Saccharomyces cerevisiae S288C: one gene and its partners. The main gene of each other region encodes a partner of the protein of the gene in region 2 in a complex. Each region holds a gene or a part of one and is shown on either strand. Other genes may lie near its edges.

The links.
Region 1: CSI1 (region 2) and RRI2 share a complex: the UniProt entries of both Saccharomyces cerevisiae proteins name them as parts of the COP9 signalosome-like (CSN) complex.
Region 3: CSI1 (region 2) and RRI1 share a complex: the UniProt entries of both Saccharomyces cerevisiae proteins name them as parts of the COP9 signalosome-like (CSN) complex.
Region 4: CSI1 (region 2) and CSN9 share a complex: the UniProt entries of both Saccharomyces cerevisiae proteins name them as parts of the COP9 signalosome-like (CSN) complex.

What each region holds. Positions count from the first base shown.
Region 1 is NC_001147.6:95,390-100,167, forward strand, and holds RRI2 (Rri2p), read left to right. Parts: upstream 1-2,161; coding exon 2,162-4,099; downstream 4,100-4,778. Other genes in the region: MCH4 (Mch4p), read right to left, coding at 1-972; YOL118C (uncharacterized protein), read right to left, coding at 1,219-1,527; MSN1 (Msn1p), read left to right, coding at 4,420-4,778. UniProt on the Saccharomyces cerevisiae protein: Component of the COP9 signalosome (CSN) complex that acts as an regulator of the ubiquitin (Ubl) conjugation pathway by mediating the deneddylation of the cullin subunit of SCF-type E3 ubiquitin-protein ligase complexes.
Region 2 is NC_001145.3:321,621-325,061, reverse strand, and holds CSI1 (Csi1p), read right to left. Parts: upstream 1,763-3,441; coding exon 875-1,762; downstream 1-874. Other genes in the region: PEX12 (ubiquitin-protein ligase peroxin 12), read left to right, coding at 1-826; mitochondrial 54S ribosomal protein mL44 MRPL3, read right to left, coding at 2,015-3,187. UniProt on the Saccharomyces cerevisiae protein: Component of the COP9 signalosome (CSN) complex that acts as an regulator of the ubiquitin (Ubl) conjugation pathway by mediating the deneddylation of the cullin subunit of SCF-type E3 ubiquitin-protein ligase complexes The CSN complex is involved in the regulation of the mating pheromone response.
Region 3 is NC_001136.10:68,228-72,170, forward strand, and holds RRI1 (COP9 signalosome catalytic subunit RRI1), read right to left. Parts: upstream 2,093-3,943; coding exon 770-2,092; downstream 1-769. Other genes in the region: translocation channel protein TIM22, read right to left, coding at 1-379; GDH2 (glutamate dehydrogenase (NAD(+))), read right to left, coding at 2,413-3,943. UniProt on the Saccharomyces cerevisiae protein: Catalytic component of the COP9 signalosome (CSN) complex that acts as an regulator of the ubiquitin (Ubl) conjugation pathway by mediating the deneddylation of the cullin subunit of SCF-type E3 ubiquitin-protein ligase complexes.
Region 4 is NC_001136.10:818,083-821,181, reverse strand, and holds CSN9 (Csn9p), read left to right. Parts: upstream 1-1,985; coding exon 1,986-2,474; downstream 2,475-3,099. Other genes in the region: NVJ3 (Nvj3p), read right to left, coding at 358-1,749; succinate dehydrogenase membrane anchor subunit SDH4, read right to left, coding at 2,687-3,099. UniProt on the Saccharomyces cerevisiae protein: Component of the COP9 signalosome (CSN) complex that acts as a regulator of the ubiquitin (Ubl) conjugation pathway by mediating the deneddylation of the cullin subunit of SCF-type E3 ubiquitin-protein ligase complexes.

The DNA of each region.
Region 1 (4,778 bases), on a different chromosome or scaffold from region 2:
GGAACTTTCTGCAAAAGAAGCGCCTATTGCGACGAACAAGAATTTTCCTTCCAAAAAATATCTCCAATTGAACACAGAGGAAATGTACCACTTTGCTACTTCCGCCTTGGATTTGAATGGTTGAACGACCGGTTTAGTTCTTTCTCTAGCCAAAACTGAAGCACAAATGAGGCATGTTAAACAAATGAATGATAGGATTCTAATGGCCCATTGAAAGCCCACTTCTTTATATAACTTTCTCAGCATAATAGGGAAAACTATACCCCCTATTGAACCCCCCATGGTACTTATAGATGTTGCTATACCCCTTCTTTTTAAAAACCAGGTTGCAACAGTTCCTATCAGAGGAGTCATTAAAATTCCCGTCCCAAGTCCAGAGCACACAGAAAATGCCAAAATGAACTGCCATACGGACTTACAATTTGCCAATGCGAATAGTCCTCCAGCATATATGACTGTACCTGTGCACATCAAACCAATACTACCATTTCTATCAAAATAGCCACCGGATAATATACAGCTTAAAAAGCTGATAGCTAAGTATAGGGAAAAAATCCAAGATATTGTTGAAGAAGATATATTTGCCAATTGATGTTTAGAGATATATGATTCAATAGCCCCTAAGGAGTTGATTAAGCCAAAAACCGGGACCAGTCCCATAAACGCACCAAATACTACCAGCCATGCTTTTAACCCACCATCTGGGAACTCTCTGTCATCATCATAAATCAAAGAGGCCTCTGGGGTGTTTAAAACTCTTGAGGTGACGTTCGTTAACTTATTAACGTCAAGATCTACTTGATCGCTGTTCTTTTTCAAAATCGCGTCCGCTGCATTGAAGTTTGGATTATATCCTGAACTTGGGCCCTCCCTTGTCTCCAGCTCCACATCGTGATCTCTCGTAGATTGCGCTTCGTGATCCTTTGAGAACAGGAACCTCTTGGAGTTAGCAATTATGGGAATGTTCAACATCCTCCGTTTGTTAAGTTTATGAAAAGCTCTTTCAATATGGTTACAAATAAAACAGAATCAATACTTTCGAGGTTATTTGCCGTGTGCCAAGGAATATTTTCCTTCTCTGAAATAGGCCTTTTGTTATATTTTAGATTCGCCTGTGACTCTTTGCCATCTCGCCTGTTAATTACCGCTCATAGGCACGGCTGACTAATTTGAAGCTATCGAAATTGCTATAAAAGGAAAACTCTCTTATCATCAAGATCAGGCGGATCTCCTGAGTTTCTGACCTATAGAGCCCCAAAAAATGGGATGACATGTACATATATAGTGGTCAACGTTAATATGAGTGGCCTCCCAATGGTACAGATGAAAGAAAAATTTGTTTTTGGCTGTACGGAATTGCTTCGTATAGAAGAAGGTCTTATCTTTCATACGTGCTTTTATGTACTGGTTCTTGCATCCAATCATCCTTATTAGTGTTTTCGTGCGGTCAATATAGCTCATTATGGAGTCGTTTATAATAAATTGACTACCCGCTGGAGGTTTGAGTTTTTTCTTTCTAAAAGACATTCAAGATCATACGGGGGGTAGACAACTCAGCCGTTTCCGGTAGTTATAGTCCATCAAGTGTTACCATAATACGACTGTAAAATTAGCCAATTCCTCGATGTCAAACATCCATTTATATACTGAGAAAATCTTTTATAGATGCCGCTTTTACTGCGACTAGAATTTCATCTATCGCACAATAGAACGTTTTCTTCTAGGTTACTTGCTTTAGATAACTAATTCCTCGAAAGCAGTGACAGTGATCTTACACTTTCTGGATTTCATTATGGGAATGTCGAGTTTGAGATTCGAGTTTTATATGATGGCAACAAGATTGCACAAACTTACTTTCTTACCTTTTTCAAATTTGATCTCTTAATACACACTAAGTATATAATGAGTATAACATTTGTGCATGTATGAGAGTAGTGGCCCATATATGATAACACTGGCGAAAGTACTCTGTAGCTAAATGCCAGGTTGGCACGTTTTTCTCGTTTGCCCAAAGTGCAGCTCCTTTTCGAAGAAATTTATCTGGTCCTCGCTGAAAAATATTATAAGGGGAGCTGGATCAATTGTTTTGTGATCTCTTTGACTAAATGAACTATTGAAACGTTTGACGCGGTAAAAGGCAAAAAGGTTCACTATACACAAAATGTCTGATGAAGATAACAATTATGACGACTTCATGTTATCGGATGACGAAGGCATGGAGTCAATTGAAATGGAGGAAGAAACCGATGATGAAGACAAACAAAACATTGAAATAAATGAAGACAATAGTCAGGATGATCAAGATCGAGGAGCGGCACGACATAAGCAACATGAACAAGGCACCTTCGAGAAACATGACAGAGTAGAAGATATTTGTGAAAGAATCTTTGAGCAAGGCCAAGCTCTCAAAGAAGACGAACGATATAAAGAGGCTCGCGATTTATTTTTAAAGATATATTACAAGGAAGAATTTTCATCTGACGAAAGTATAGAAAGGCTCATGACATGGAAATTTAAATCACTTATTGAGATATTACGTTTAAGAGCCCTACAACTCTATTTTCAGAAAAACGGTGCACAGGATTTAGTTCTACAAATTTTAGAAGACACGGCAACTATGTCGGTTTTTTTACAAAGAATAGACTTTCAAATTGATGGAAATATATTTGAATTACTTTCTGATACTTTTGAGGTATTGGCACCCAAGTGGGAAAGAGTATTCTTGTTCGACATCGAGAAAGTTGATAGGGAAAATATGATCTGCAAAATTGATTTCCAAAAAAACTTCATGGATCAGTTTCAATGGATTTTAAGAAAGCCTGGCAAGGATTGTAAACTCCAAAATCTCCAGCGTATAATTAGAAAAAAGATATTTATTGCCGTTGTTTGGTATCAAAGGTTAACCATGGGGAATGTATTCACCCCGGAAATTTCTTCCCAAATAGAGATTCTTGTGAAAGATAATGAATGCTCTTCTTTTGAGGAAAATAATGATTTGGAAAGTGTATCTATGTTACTGCAGTATTACATATTGGAGTATATGAACACTGCACGAATAAACAATAGAAGGTTGTTTAAGAAGTGCATTGACTTTTTTGAAATGTTGATATCTAAGTCGCTTACTTTCTCACAAGAATCTGGACTGATGGTAATATTATATACCTCTAAGATTGTATTCATTTTAGACTCTGATTCAGAGAATGATTTATCCTTTGCGCTGATGAGATATTATGATCGGAAAGAAGAGCTAAAAAATATGTTCCTCTATATCTTGAAACACTTGGAAGAGATGGGAAAACTTCGGGAGAGGGATATTACCTCTTTGTTTCACAAGTTCATTCTTAGCGGCTTCATTTTCACGAGCATGATTCTAGAAGCAATTAGCACAGACAAGATTAATCCTTTTGGTTTCGAACAAGTGAAGATTGCGCTAGGCAGCCCTATTGTTAACGTATTAGAAGATGTCTACAGGTGCTTCGCACAACTGGAACTAAGACAGCTGAATGCAAGTATATCTCTTATTCCTGAATTGTCCGTAGTACTAAGTGGAATTATTCAAGATATTTACTATCTGGCGCAGACATTAAAGTTGTGGAGAAAAATTGCACGATTATACTCCTGTATCTCCATAAGTGACATTATAAGTATGCTGCAAATAAGTGATGACAATGAAATGACAAGAGATGATTTGCTAACAATTTTAATGAGGTCAATAATGAAAAATAGATCGGTTGTGTATTTTAAGTTAGATTTGACAAGTGATTTAGTCTATTTCGGAGACGAGAATAAAGTCATGCTACCGAGATGTTCTAAAGAAGAATTTCGTCTTATGATCTCTCCCAAGGATGAAGAAACCACTGAAAAGGCCAGGCTAATAGATTTTGAGTACGTTAACGATGTCGCGATTTATAATAACCCAACAAGAATAAGAACCAAATCCTCTAAAGAATTTTTCAATACATTAAGAAAATCTAGGGAAACTGTAAAATTACCGAGGGTAAGCAACCAGTCGAATGAAGATACTTTTCTACCATCGTATATGAAGTTTTCCAACAAGTACCTCGAGCTGTGCAAACTGGCCTCTAACAATCTGGAATAGAATGTCGATCAGGCACGTTCGTGTAAACATTACGATTTTGGAATTCCACTTACATAAGATAGCTTCTTTGTAAAAGCCGTTCGAAGATTTCGTTTATAGTGATGCTTTTTCTGGAGAGATTTAAGATAATAAGGATATGTGGAAGGAAATGAAAATGTACACCTACAAAGCGTTGATGGTATGGAAACTATCGACCATAGTTTGTTAAACAGGAAATATTTGCTTGAGGGTAAAGTGTTCTGATTCATTATACAAAGCCCCTTGCTTATAAGAAAAGAAACCAAATCAGAAAAGGAGATTATTTCAAGGTAGGCATCGAAATGGCAAGTAACCAGCACATAGGAGCTTCAAACCTAAATGAGAATGAGGCTATATTAACCAACCGCGTTGCTGAGCTGGAAAGGCGTATGTCGATGTTTGAGGGTATATTTCACGCGTTAAGTAACCGTCTCGATCTTCACTTTAAAAAATATGATGTAGTGGTAAACTCCCAACAGCAACAAATCAACGAACTGACCGCGTTTTTATCAACATTGCTGAATGACCAACAACGCCACGCTGAAATTCTCAGTGAAAAATTAAGCGGAACGTTGCATGGGGTGTCAGCTACGTCAATATCCTTAAGCCAAACTCTTGACCCACAAGGCTTCACTGATGGAACTACGGCACCAGGAGCTCC
Region 2 (3,441 bases):
CCAGAGTGAATGGCCCCAAGGTTTGCAGCTGAATCAACAGCAAAAGAGTGTTATTTTTTTGGAAAAAATTATTCTCCCCTATATCACAGCGAAGTTGGATGAAATATTAGAGAAAATATCAATGAATAATATATTCAGCAGCGATGAAACTGAAAATAAATGGCCCAAGAGAGCGTTTCTAAGAATTTATCCATTTATTAAGAAATTATTAGCGTTATCCAATTTACTCGTTAAATTATTATTTTTAACTAAAAGAACAGGGTCGGTTTCCTTGTTGCAATACTTATTCAAGATAGAGTACACAACGGTAAGACCACTATCGTCAGAACTCTCTGGTCTCAAAGAGACGAAAGGGATGGATAATAGGCTAAGGAAAACAAATATATCGTCAATTTTCGCGCTAATGCAAGGACAATTATCGATTATACCCAGATTTTTAACATTTATGGGTTCGCAATTCTTCCCCACTTTTATATTTGTCCTAAGAGTGTACCAATGGTGGACCACACAAGACATGACTACTAAATTGCAGAAAAGGGTCAATGACTTGGATGAAGATATTCCAAGGCCGCCTTTCTCCTCACATAGTGACAAAACGGAAGATAAAGAGGGAGTTTCTGAGGCCTGTCCCGTTTGCGAAAAAACTGTACAAAACCCCTGTGTATTGGAAACAGGATACGTGGCATGCTACCCGTGTGCCATAAGCTATTTGGTTAATAATGAAGGCCATTGTCCCGTTACCAATAAAAAGCTGCTGGGTTGTACATACAACAAACACACGAATAAATGGGAAGTTGTGACAGGTATTAGGAAGCTACTAATCTGATGACGGAGGAAGTGAAGAAAATAATTCTGTGTAATATATATATTCTAGTTATTTTTTTAACATATTTGAAATTTCCCATTGTTTACACGAAATTTCTAATAATTTTATTTCATTAATTTTGTTATCCAGCAGGTAATTCATGTCACTTGTTCCACCTCTTTGCAGTTGTGTTACAAGCATTGATATTTTTCGAAGTATTACATCTTGCGTGGAAGAGAAAGGCTTGTCAGTGGCATCATAATTTTTCAAGAATATTATCATTCGATTAATCTTCTCGAGTAATTTTCTTATGGTATTATTATTATATTTTTGAATATTGATTTCTTTATCCTTCATGTCAATTAATTGAAACTCATCAAAACCTGGGTCTACGGTATTATTAGGTGTGGGAATTTGGTATCTGTCATTTACATCCTTAATTTGCACTTTATCTTGTAGAAAATCAAGGATAATTTCCGCGCCTATCTGTACACTATTTTCAATTTTATAACCCTTTAAACTATTGACAGCTTCTTGGAAGGAGGTATGTTGGCGAAACACGTTATATTTTATCAGATATTTCAATGCCAAGGCGGTCAATTGGGTGAGCACTTTCTCCGTCACTTTATTAGTGATATTTTCGTCCTCTTCTAACTGACATAAATCAAGAATACCCAGTATACAAATGTCCTTTTGAGTCACTTTTGTTAGGTTAATTCTCCTTTCTAGGCGTTCTTGATTTATTTTATCATTTTCCTGCATCGGGATTCGTATAACTTTTTCAATATACCATTGAGACTCTGCTTCATTACCATTTATTGGGATGTAAATTTCATCATCTTGATCCAATTTGCAACCTATCAATAAAAACCAAGAGTGGTCTATCGAGTCAAACGATGACTCGTGCAGGAAGTTAATTTCTGATATAGCTAGAGAACTGAATTTTAGGAGGTCCATTTACCCTATATTACTTTGCTTTGTGTTATTATCCCCTCACAAATGTGCGTTCTCTTTAAATATAGCAAGTCTTTTTTTTTTTTGTCTGTTTCCTGGTAAGATATAGTAGTAAACAAGGAACATGCTTCTGTTCACTTTTATATATTTTAGTACACATAAAGTAAACGCATATCGTACCAACGTGTATATATATATGTACAAGAATGTATTCTGGTTAAGGAGTTCTCTATCTACAAAATGGCAAACACAGAACTAAACAACAACAGTGCCAGGATCAATAACTGGTTCCTGTTGAGCAAGAGGCTCGTAGCAATACCATTTCATCAAAGCATCAGTAGCGGCTCTTGCTTTTGCCTCCTTTAATGAGGAACCATAACCTTCACCTAATGTCTCTTCGCCTGAAAATACATGCACAATAAAGACAGGTGATTTCGATAGTCTACCAGACTCAGCGACCAGTTTCGATACAGGTTTCTCCAGCCCCTCTCTACGACATAGCATAGCCAATTCTCTTGTAGGTTGTTCAAACTGGAACATTTTCGTGATATCCAATTTCCTGCTCATTATATGATCATCAATAAATCTGTAAACAGCTTGAGAATCTTTTTGCTCCGTTACTGCCCAGATGGCAGCTATTATACTCCTCACGCTCATTGCAAGAGCGCTTGTTTCTGAAAAGTTCTTTCCGGTGATTAGCTCAATACCGTCCTTAGAGTTCAATGAATTATTAAAGAATTTGAGTCTTCCCAAAGTGAATTCGAATGGTTCCATTTTCAAATAGCGTGATAAAACAGACGTAGTTTCTACTTCAATACCCCAGTATTTAGCAATGTGCGCCAGTACCGCCTCTGATATATATGCGTTAACCGCAGCATTCAAAACCACAGTGGGTAGTCTCGGATATTTCTGTATAATGGATTTTGTAACGTGGTAAGAGAGCAAGTTCTTTCCCATGATGTTTAAACCGTGGTTGTCCAAGTATTTATTAGTAGGTACAGTATTAACGAAAGCTGCACCTTTTGTAGGATTATTTATCTTGTCGGGTAGTTTTGCAGAGGGACACGTTAAGCATCTGGAAAGTGTTGAATAGGTCAACTCATTAGGTAATTGTAATCTCTTATGAAGCGTTCTTAACGAAGGTGACTTAGAGGCCACTGATTCAGGTATTTCATTTACAGTGCTCTTCAAACCCTGGTAGTATTCCTTATATTTAGCAAGTTCAGATTCGGGTAGGAAGCGCTTTTCTTGTTGTGTTAATGTTGAAAGGTGTAGGTATCGTTTTGAAGTAAATCTCGAGGATTGCTGCAGAAAGCATGTGCTAGACAAATGCTGTGAGAAAGGTCTTATGGTTCGGCTCCAATGCCACGTACTGTTTGGAAAAGGTTTCATACCTGCTGCTATTGCTCTTTTCAAAACTATGCCCATTCTGTATATATAACTACAGCTTTCTTTTCACCAATTCTTTTCAGATTATTTTAGTATTGCTCTTTTTCAGAGGCGGGAAACTTCACTCTTTACCCGGCTGCATATTGTAAGGACCTTTTCTATAATCACGCATTAAAGCGACTGTAATTTATATCTAATAGGATAATAATTTGCCATTAATTATTCATCTTGTTGCGTCTACAATCATTCTATTCCGTATTCTTTATGTCAAGGCATAAGAGACCTTGGTGTTT
Region 3 (3,943 bases), on a different chromosome or scaffold from region 2:
TAGCACTAGAGTAGGATTTTTTACCCATATCGGTAAATTGAAGTTTCATTTGCTGCCGGAAAGGTAAATCAGATATTTGCTGAACTGTTCTTGATATTCCACCCACACCTATATTTCCCGCAGTTGCAGTTGCTGCTGTATTTGCAGGTGTAGGTGTATGAAGAGGTGTATCATATGCCATTGACGCCATGAACAGGCCTAAAACACCACCCAGTGCAAACCCTGTTACACCACTCACAACTGATTTTCCAGGACAGGAAGTCATGAAGTTCATGATCATTTCAGCACCCCGTTCACCCTGTTCTTCCGGAGTTAGTTCATTATAAGGTTTCTTTTGAGCTGGACTTATCTGCTCCAAACCAAATCCTGTGTACACCATCTTCGTATAAAGTATTTAAAATCACAATTTCTTGATCTTATTTGGCAGCTATCTCTACTATCCCGTTTAGTACTATCCCGTTTAGTAGTGACAGAAAAATAGTATTTTGTCCTGAAAAGCTTCGGATTTTATATGTACGAAATGGATCCGAGGAAATGCTGTCTGTTTTATTAGAGAATTAAGTTGACTGATGCATCGTCTTTCTCTTCAGTTGTAAGCTCGATGCCATTTTATCAGTAAGACCAAAAACCAACACATAACGGCGTACGAAAATATCAAATTGTCACCCGGTATAGATATACTTATAGAGATTCAAGAAGGAATAACTATTAAAAGTACGTTGCAGATAAACATAAGCTATTGCAGCGTCATTGGAGCAACGTTAGGAATTCATAATGTAAAGGTGTCCTTGTAAAAACGTAACCGCTCATATTGTTTTATCTTTGACGCAAGTATTCGATTTTTTGCTCTTGCATAATCTGTCTCCAAGACATTTCTCTGTAACATATCATTGCCCTCATCATGACATCTTTCCTGATTGCTGTTCATGCGTTTTTTAGAATTGTGAAAATTGTCGGTAGACCTGCTGCTTCTTTCCACGCGATTTACATGAATGCTCGGTTCGCCGTTTATGCACAGACTAGTGTCAGTACTGTCGAACTCGGTAAGGTTTCTATCTTCCATATCTACGTCACTAGTATTATCACCTGAAAACATGCTTCCAAAGGAGCTTGTTTCAGTGCTATCCCCCCTTTGCGTATTGAGGCAGAACTGAGACCTTGTTGAACGGTTTTGATAGTCAATGTTTTTTTTATTTTCGTTGCTAACACGTTCACTGGTAGTAGCCAACTTAATCCTTGTTCTAACATTTTTGGAATCCATCAAATAGCTATACTGCTTCATTGAATCGATCAATCTATTTAATGATATTTGTTCTGACTCATCATCCTCTATTACGCAATGTAAGTTTAACTTTGTTTCAAATAGCGCTCGGTTCAATTCTGAATCAAATATGATTGTTTCTAGTTCATAGTATGAAGTGGCACTATTATCATCACTTTTACTTTCTATTGTCCTAAATGCACCCATTCTTAAAATTTTATCTTCCAGACTTTTCAAGGGATCGACCACAATTGCGACATATGGATCTTGGAATCTCTGGTTCAAATCCTGGGTTTGGATATCTATATTACTTAACCAACAGTCGTAACCAGGATGTGAATGGAACCAGCCAACAACATTCAGTTTAGCGCCCTTGTAATCTCGCCCATCACCACCGTCATTATGATTATACATCTCGTCGATATATTGAACCATATATTCGTATGACTCCAATTGTGCATTTACGCGAGTTTCTGTCCCTACTACGGGAAGATTGAAACAATCCATTACAACAATATTATCTTTTAATGTGAACCCCATTAATATGCCCATGATTTCAATATTTCCTCCACGAACTGCATAATGGGTGATCTTTTCACATGATAATTTTGATATAAGTACGTGGGTGTAACTCGGAATATCTGTACTACTTTGTTGTTTTAGTTTAGTTTTGAGCAAGGAAGATTGGCTTAGCGCATGAAATTCAGGTTCTTGCGACGGCTTGAATCGCATACTTGATAGCGCTATAGATTCAGTTAGTTCATCTTCCACGGTGTACCTTTCCTTTAGTAGTTGTCGTAATTCCTTTACAGTCTTATTTGAAAGTGACATGCTGCCTCCTGCAGTTTTTATTGATTTTCGATCGTTGTTATTCATTTTTAGTTTATTTGAAAAACCCTTTAATAAGAGCGCTTCCTGCGTAGCGCGCCTTTCCTAAAGTTTCAGCTGAAGCATGGCTCCCTGAGGAGAACTGCCTAGTATAATGGATAACTCGAAGGAAAAAATATCAAATGCTTTTTTTAGATTAAAAATAATGGACATATAAACAACTTTACTTAGTACACAATAAAACGCTGAGAAGAACATACACATATGTTTAATTTTCTTTTCTGACGGCAGAACTAATTTATACAAAACAATTTTATTGAAGCTCAAGCACTTGCCTCCGCTTCTCTTTTTAACCCACCAATAAATTCCAAGAATTTTCCAATGTTAACATCGATACCGTTCTGGTAAACAAAAGTGCTTGATAAGTAACTCGACAGAAGAACTTTCAAATAGCTCTCTGGAATGTTTTCCAATACGGACTGAGGCCCAGCAACATCAATCAGAATTTTTGGAATTATTTTATCCAACAATAGGTAGTTTCTTAATTTTAGATCATTGAGCCACAACTCTTGAGAAGCAACTAGATCGTCGTTCAATTTGTTTATAGTGAAGGACAATTGGTTTGAAATTTCTGAAATGTGGGTTCCATTTAGTTGATTCAAATTCCATAACTGACCAAACTCTAATTCAGCATTTTTCTGAATTCTTGACTGCACTTCTACAACGTACGACTTGTACAACGCAGACCTCTCACCACTAACATCTCCAATAAATTTGTGCACGAAGTCGTTATCGTTAAGCGCTAGTGAGGCCAACACTTCCATTGATGAAGATGTGACACCACCTTTGTTTGCAGAAGCATCTTTGAACAGAATACAGCCATGTTCCTCCAAAGCATTTTTAGCAGGTTGCGTTATAAATAGATTGGCACCCTCCACAATATATGGAATTTTACATTTCCCAGTCTTTTCGTCAACAAAATAATGTAGATTATTTAGAGTAATTGAGTTTGGTCTACCACCGCATGGAACAAAAATGTCGACATGATCCACAAATTTGAAAATTTGAGTATGAAAGGTGTTTCTGAAGGTTGTGCCGTTAGCTACAATTGTACCATTTGGTAGCATGATATCCATTGCATCCACAGAAACAAAAAATCCGTTGTTTGATAATTTGGAAGTGTCGAAATCGGAAATCATTTTCCTTTCATGTGCCAAGCGGCATAATTCATCTTTATCTAAACCTTTAGGATCACACAGGACACCTGAACCGTCCAGAATTGCCAAATAACATTCGTTTGGCGAAGATAAAAGAATTTCATTGGATCCCAAATCACCATCCGGACCACCAGTTTGGAATTTGTAAACAGTAGAATTTGTCAAGTTTAAAGTTTCGTAAATTTTATTAACATAAGCACGAACACCCAGAGAAGTCATACCATATTCGTCATGGGGAATACCACCCAAAGATGGGGATTTTCCAGTCAAAAATGATTTCCACCATGGGCAGTTCCTCACACGAGCATGGTTAGTTGCCCAATCCACGAAACCAGCAGTTCCTTCATCTGGGCCAAAAAATAATATTTCCTCCTTTGGTAAAAGGTTGACATAGTTTTCCTTTAATGGATCGTTGATTAGAATGTCAATCATTGCATCCACATATTGGGAAAAGGCGACAAATGTCTGGTCATGTTCTACCAATCCTGGGTTCAATAAGATGACACCTTTAGAGCCACCCTCTGGAATATCCTTATTTTTACGTTGCTGAGTAGAGGCCAATTGATAGTTCTCATCAATAACGTTCTTGGAATTCAAATCATAAATATCCTGATTCCTGGAACAGACTATACGAATA
Region 4 (3,099 bases), on a different chromosome or scaffold from region 2:
AAGTGGAGCACTCGAATGTGACTTGTTGTTATCGAACTCTAAGCCTGAGCTAGAAAAAACTTTAGTTACTAAACTGCATCGTTCTTTTTCAGCCAGTGTTTTTTTTAAGCGAAGTGGCGGCAGTTTCGCGTTTAACATAAAAGCAATACCACTTTTACCTGTTCGGGCAAAAGGAATAGATATTTGCATATTTGGCAATGAATAGTGCTAATGATTAGGTCATAAAAGCTATTTGTTAACAATGTTCTTGCTTCCTAAGACCTTACTTCATAGTATAAAAATTGGTAATAATGCTACAAAGAGTGCTATTTCGGTAACATCAAATATTTGTCAACAATACTCTATACATCACGAAGTCTACGGCAACTGCGCAATAACACAGTCAATAATTCTATAAATTAGCAGTTTATTGCAATCCCTATTCTTCGATATGCAGATAATAAGATCCGCTATGTCAGACCTTTTGATAGCGAGGATATGATCAAGTTTATAAGTCATACAAACATCCCATAAATTGGAAATACACTCTTCTCTGAACTCTAGAAAAGCATCACCCACTGGTAATACTCTTGGTGGCCCCATCATATTGTCATTAGGAAACAAAGAATGTCGTAATAATGAGAATAAGTTGCCAATTGTCACAGGGCTGGTAATTTTAGTTTGAACAATATTGTCAAATGTTCTATACATGACCCTGTTTAACGCATTTAATTTAGAGATCCAATGCTGAAGCGTTCTGCATATTGAGAATAGGAATGGCTTCCTCATAGATAATTTGAAAAAATCATCGGTGAAAAAAGTAAAAATATATCTTTGTAGAAATGCTGTTTCTTGAATTTCGGCAGTGTTCATATTTGCTGCTTCTGTTGAAGTTGAATAAGCTAAAAGCCTGGTCATTTGCAATATTTTGTGCTTTACATTGGAAACAAACAACCAGGGATCGCATTTAGGCTTTCCATGAGTCACCTCGTTTCTGGTATTTCCTGCAGAATTTAGCTTTATTCTTATGCAAATTTTATTCAAGCCCTCCAGAAGATAATATGGTTCCGCTATTGAATTAAAAATATGCCCGAACACAAGTTCATTTAAAAAGCTATCCAAAAAGCTTCTCTGTAGTAGAGATTTGGTGCTCATTTTACTTTGTATGATTTCAGTGAATAGCATTGGATATCGTTTCGAATCATACAAAGTTAGCTTACAGTACTGTTCATAAACTAAATCGTTATTTTGAGATGAGTCATTTAATGCTTTCAAGTGAGACGAAAGCAAGCAGGGAATATAATCGAGTAAAAGGGCATGGTAATTGATTTTGGAACTCTTCAAATATGTTATTAAATCTTGAACTAAGTTATATAGTTCGGTTAAAAACTTGGAATCATCAGTGGGTATTTTGATACCATACCAAGACTTAACGAAATTTTGGAAAATTAAGGCAATAAAGGTATTTACCTGTAGGTCTGGCAAAGCTTCTATGCTTCTGATTTTCTGATGTAATGAATTTGGGTATATAGAGAAACATAAATCCCTTAGATACTCAACCGAATCTTTTTCAAATTCACTCTCAAACGAAACATCATTACCAGAATTTTTCGTATGACTACAATCTTTCTCCCAAATATCTCCACTCGATTTAGAATTCAGTCGTGTATGTCCTTTTTTTGACAGAAAGCCTTTATATTGATTTGAGGCATTTGGCCTTCGGTACTTGGTAATTAAACTGGAATTGGTGTTGTATAAAATGGTAGGCATCTACACATATAGAAATAAAGCCGTGCAGTATATATTGACTTCCCTGGCTCTTATCGCGTTTGCTTTTTCTTATATTATTGTTATCTTGCCTTTGGTTCGTTGTATCTTAGGGAATGCGAAAATTATTGAGCAACTCATCATCAACTTTTTTAATATGTATTTATATTACGGACAATAGTAAACAAAGAAATAAAAAACAATAACAGTGATGACCTACGTAGTACAGATAAGAGAGAATGGTAATGAGGGAAGAAACAATAAAATCGCTAGAAGATCCTTACAAATATCACTACAAAGAAGAATGGTTAAATACTAAAGATCCCGATGAACAACAATTATTCGAAATATTTGCCTTTGGAAACATTAAAGATCTACCGGAAAACATAATCCTAACATCATTAATGCGATCAAAACTGGAGAAATTAACATTGGTAACATTAAGCGAAATATATAATGAGTTAAGTTACGAGTTAATTAAAGAAGAATGTCAAATTGAAGACGATGGTATCATCGAAAGCCATTTAATTCAGCTACAGAATATTTTTAAAGCAGAGATGGATTCAGTCAGTAAATCTATGAAATTTTCAAGAAGATTTGACTGTAGAGATGTGTACTGTCATGAAAAGGAACTGACTATAATTAAAAATCCGCGAGTGACGAAAGAGTATTTAGTTCAAAATCTTCGGAGCTGGGAAACAAAGCTCAAACAGAATATATTGGAGTAAATCAAATATGAAAAAGGCATAATAATGACGATATTAGGAAGTAACAAATAAATAAAAGAAAAATAGAAGAATAAATAATAATAAATAAATACTAGTAAATATGGCAAAGGAATATACCGGCGGAAAACAAGGTAAAAGCAAAAGATAGGAGACACGTCGTTGCTATAGATGTGCATGTTACATGACCGAACAAATGATTCGTGGTGATTTATCTACTTCTTGGCTTCAATCTTTTGACTGTTGTCTTTCTCGGAAGAATCCCATAGACTTTTTACTAAACCAACAACACCATCATTCTCGGTTTCTAGTTTATAGATTCCAAAAAGGGAGACCGCAGAACCAAGGCCCAACATATACATGGCGTACTTGTGCCAAACACCATAAACTCTTTCAGAAATATAATCGGTGATACAAGAGTTAAATTCCATGTAACAATATCCCAAAAGCATGACAGAAAAGAAAGAATCAGCTGCAGTGGATAACGGACCGGTTGTCAGCATAGCCGTCGTAGCCAATGGAACGACGGACAAGGCAAAGATTTTTTCCATATACCAGTGGTATGAGCCCTCTAATTTATTCTCAGGGGGGGGGACGTAGGCATCATTGGGAGTGCCCCTAACACCAC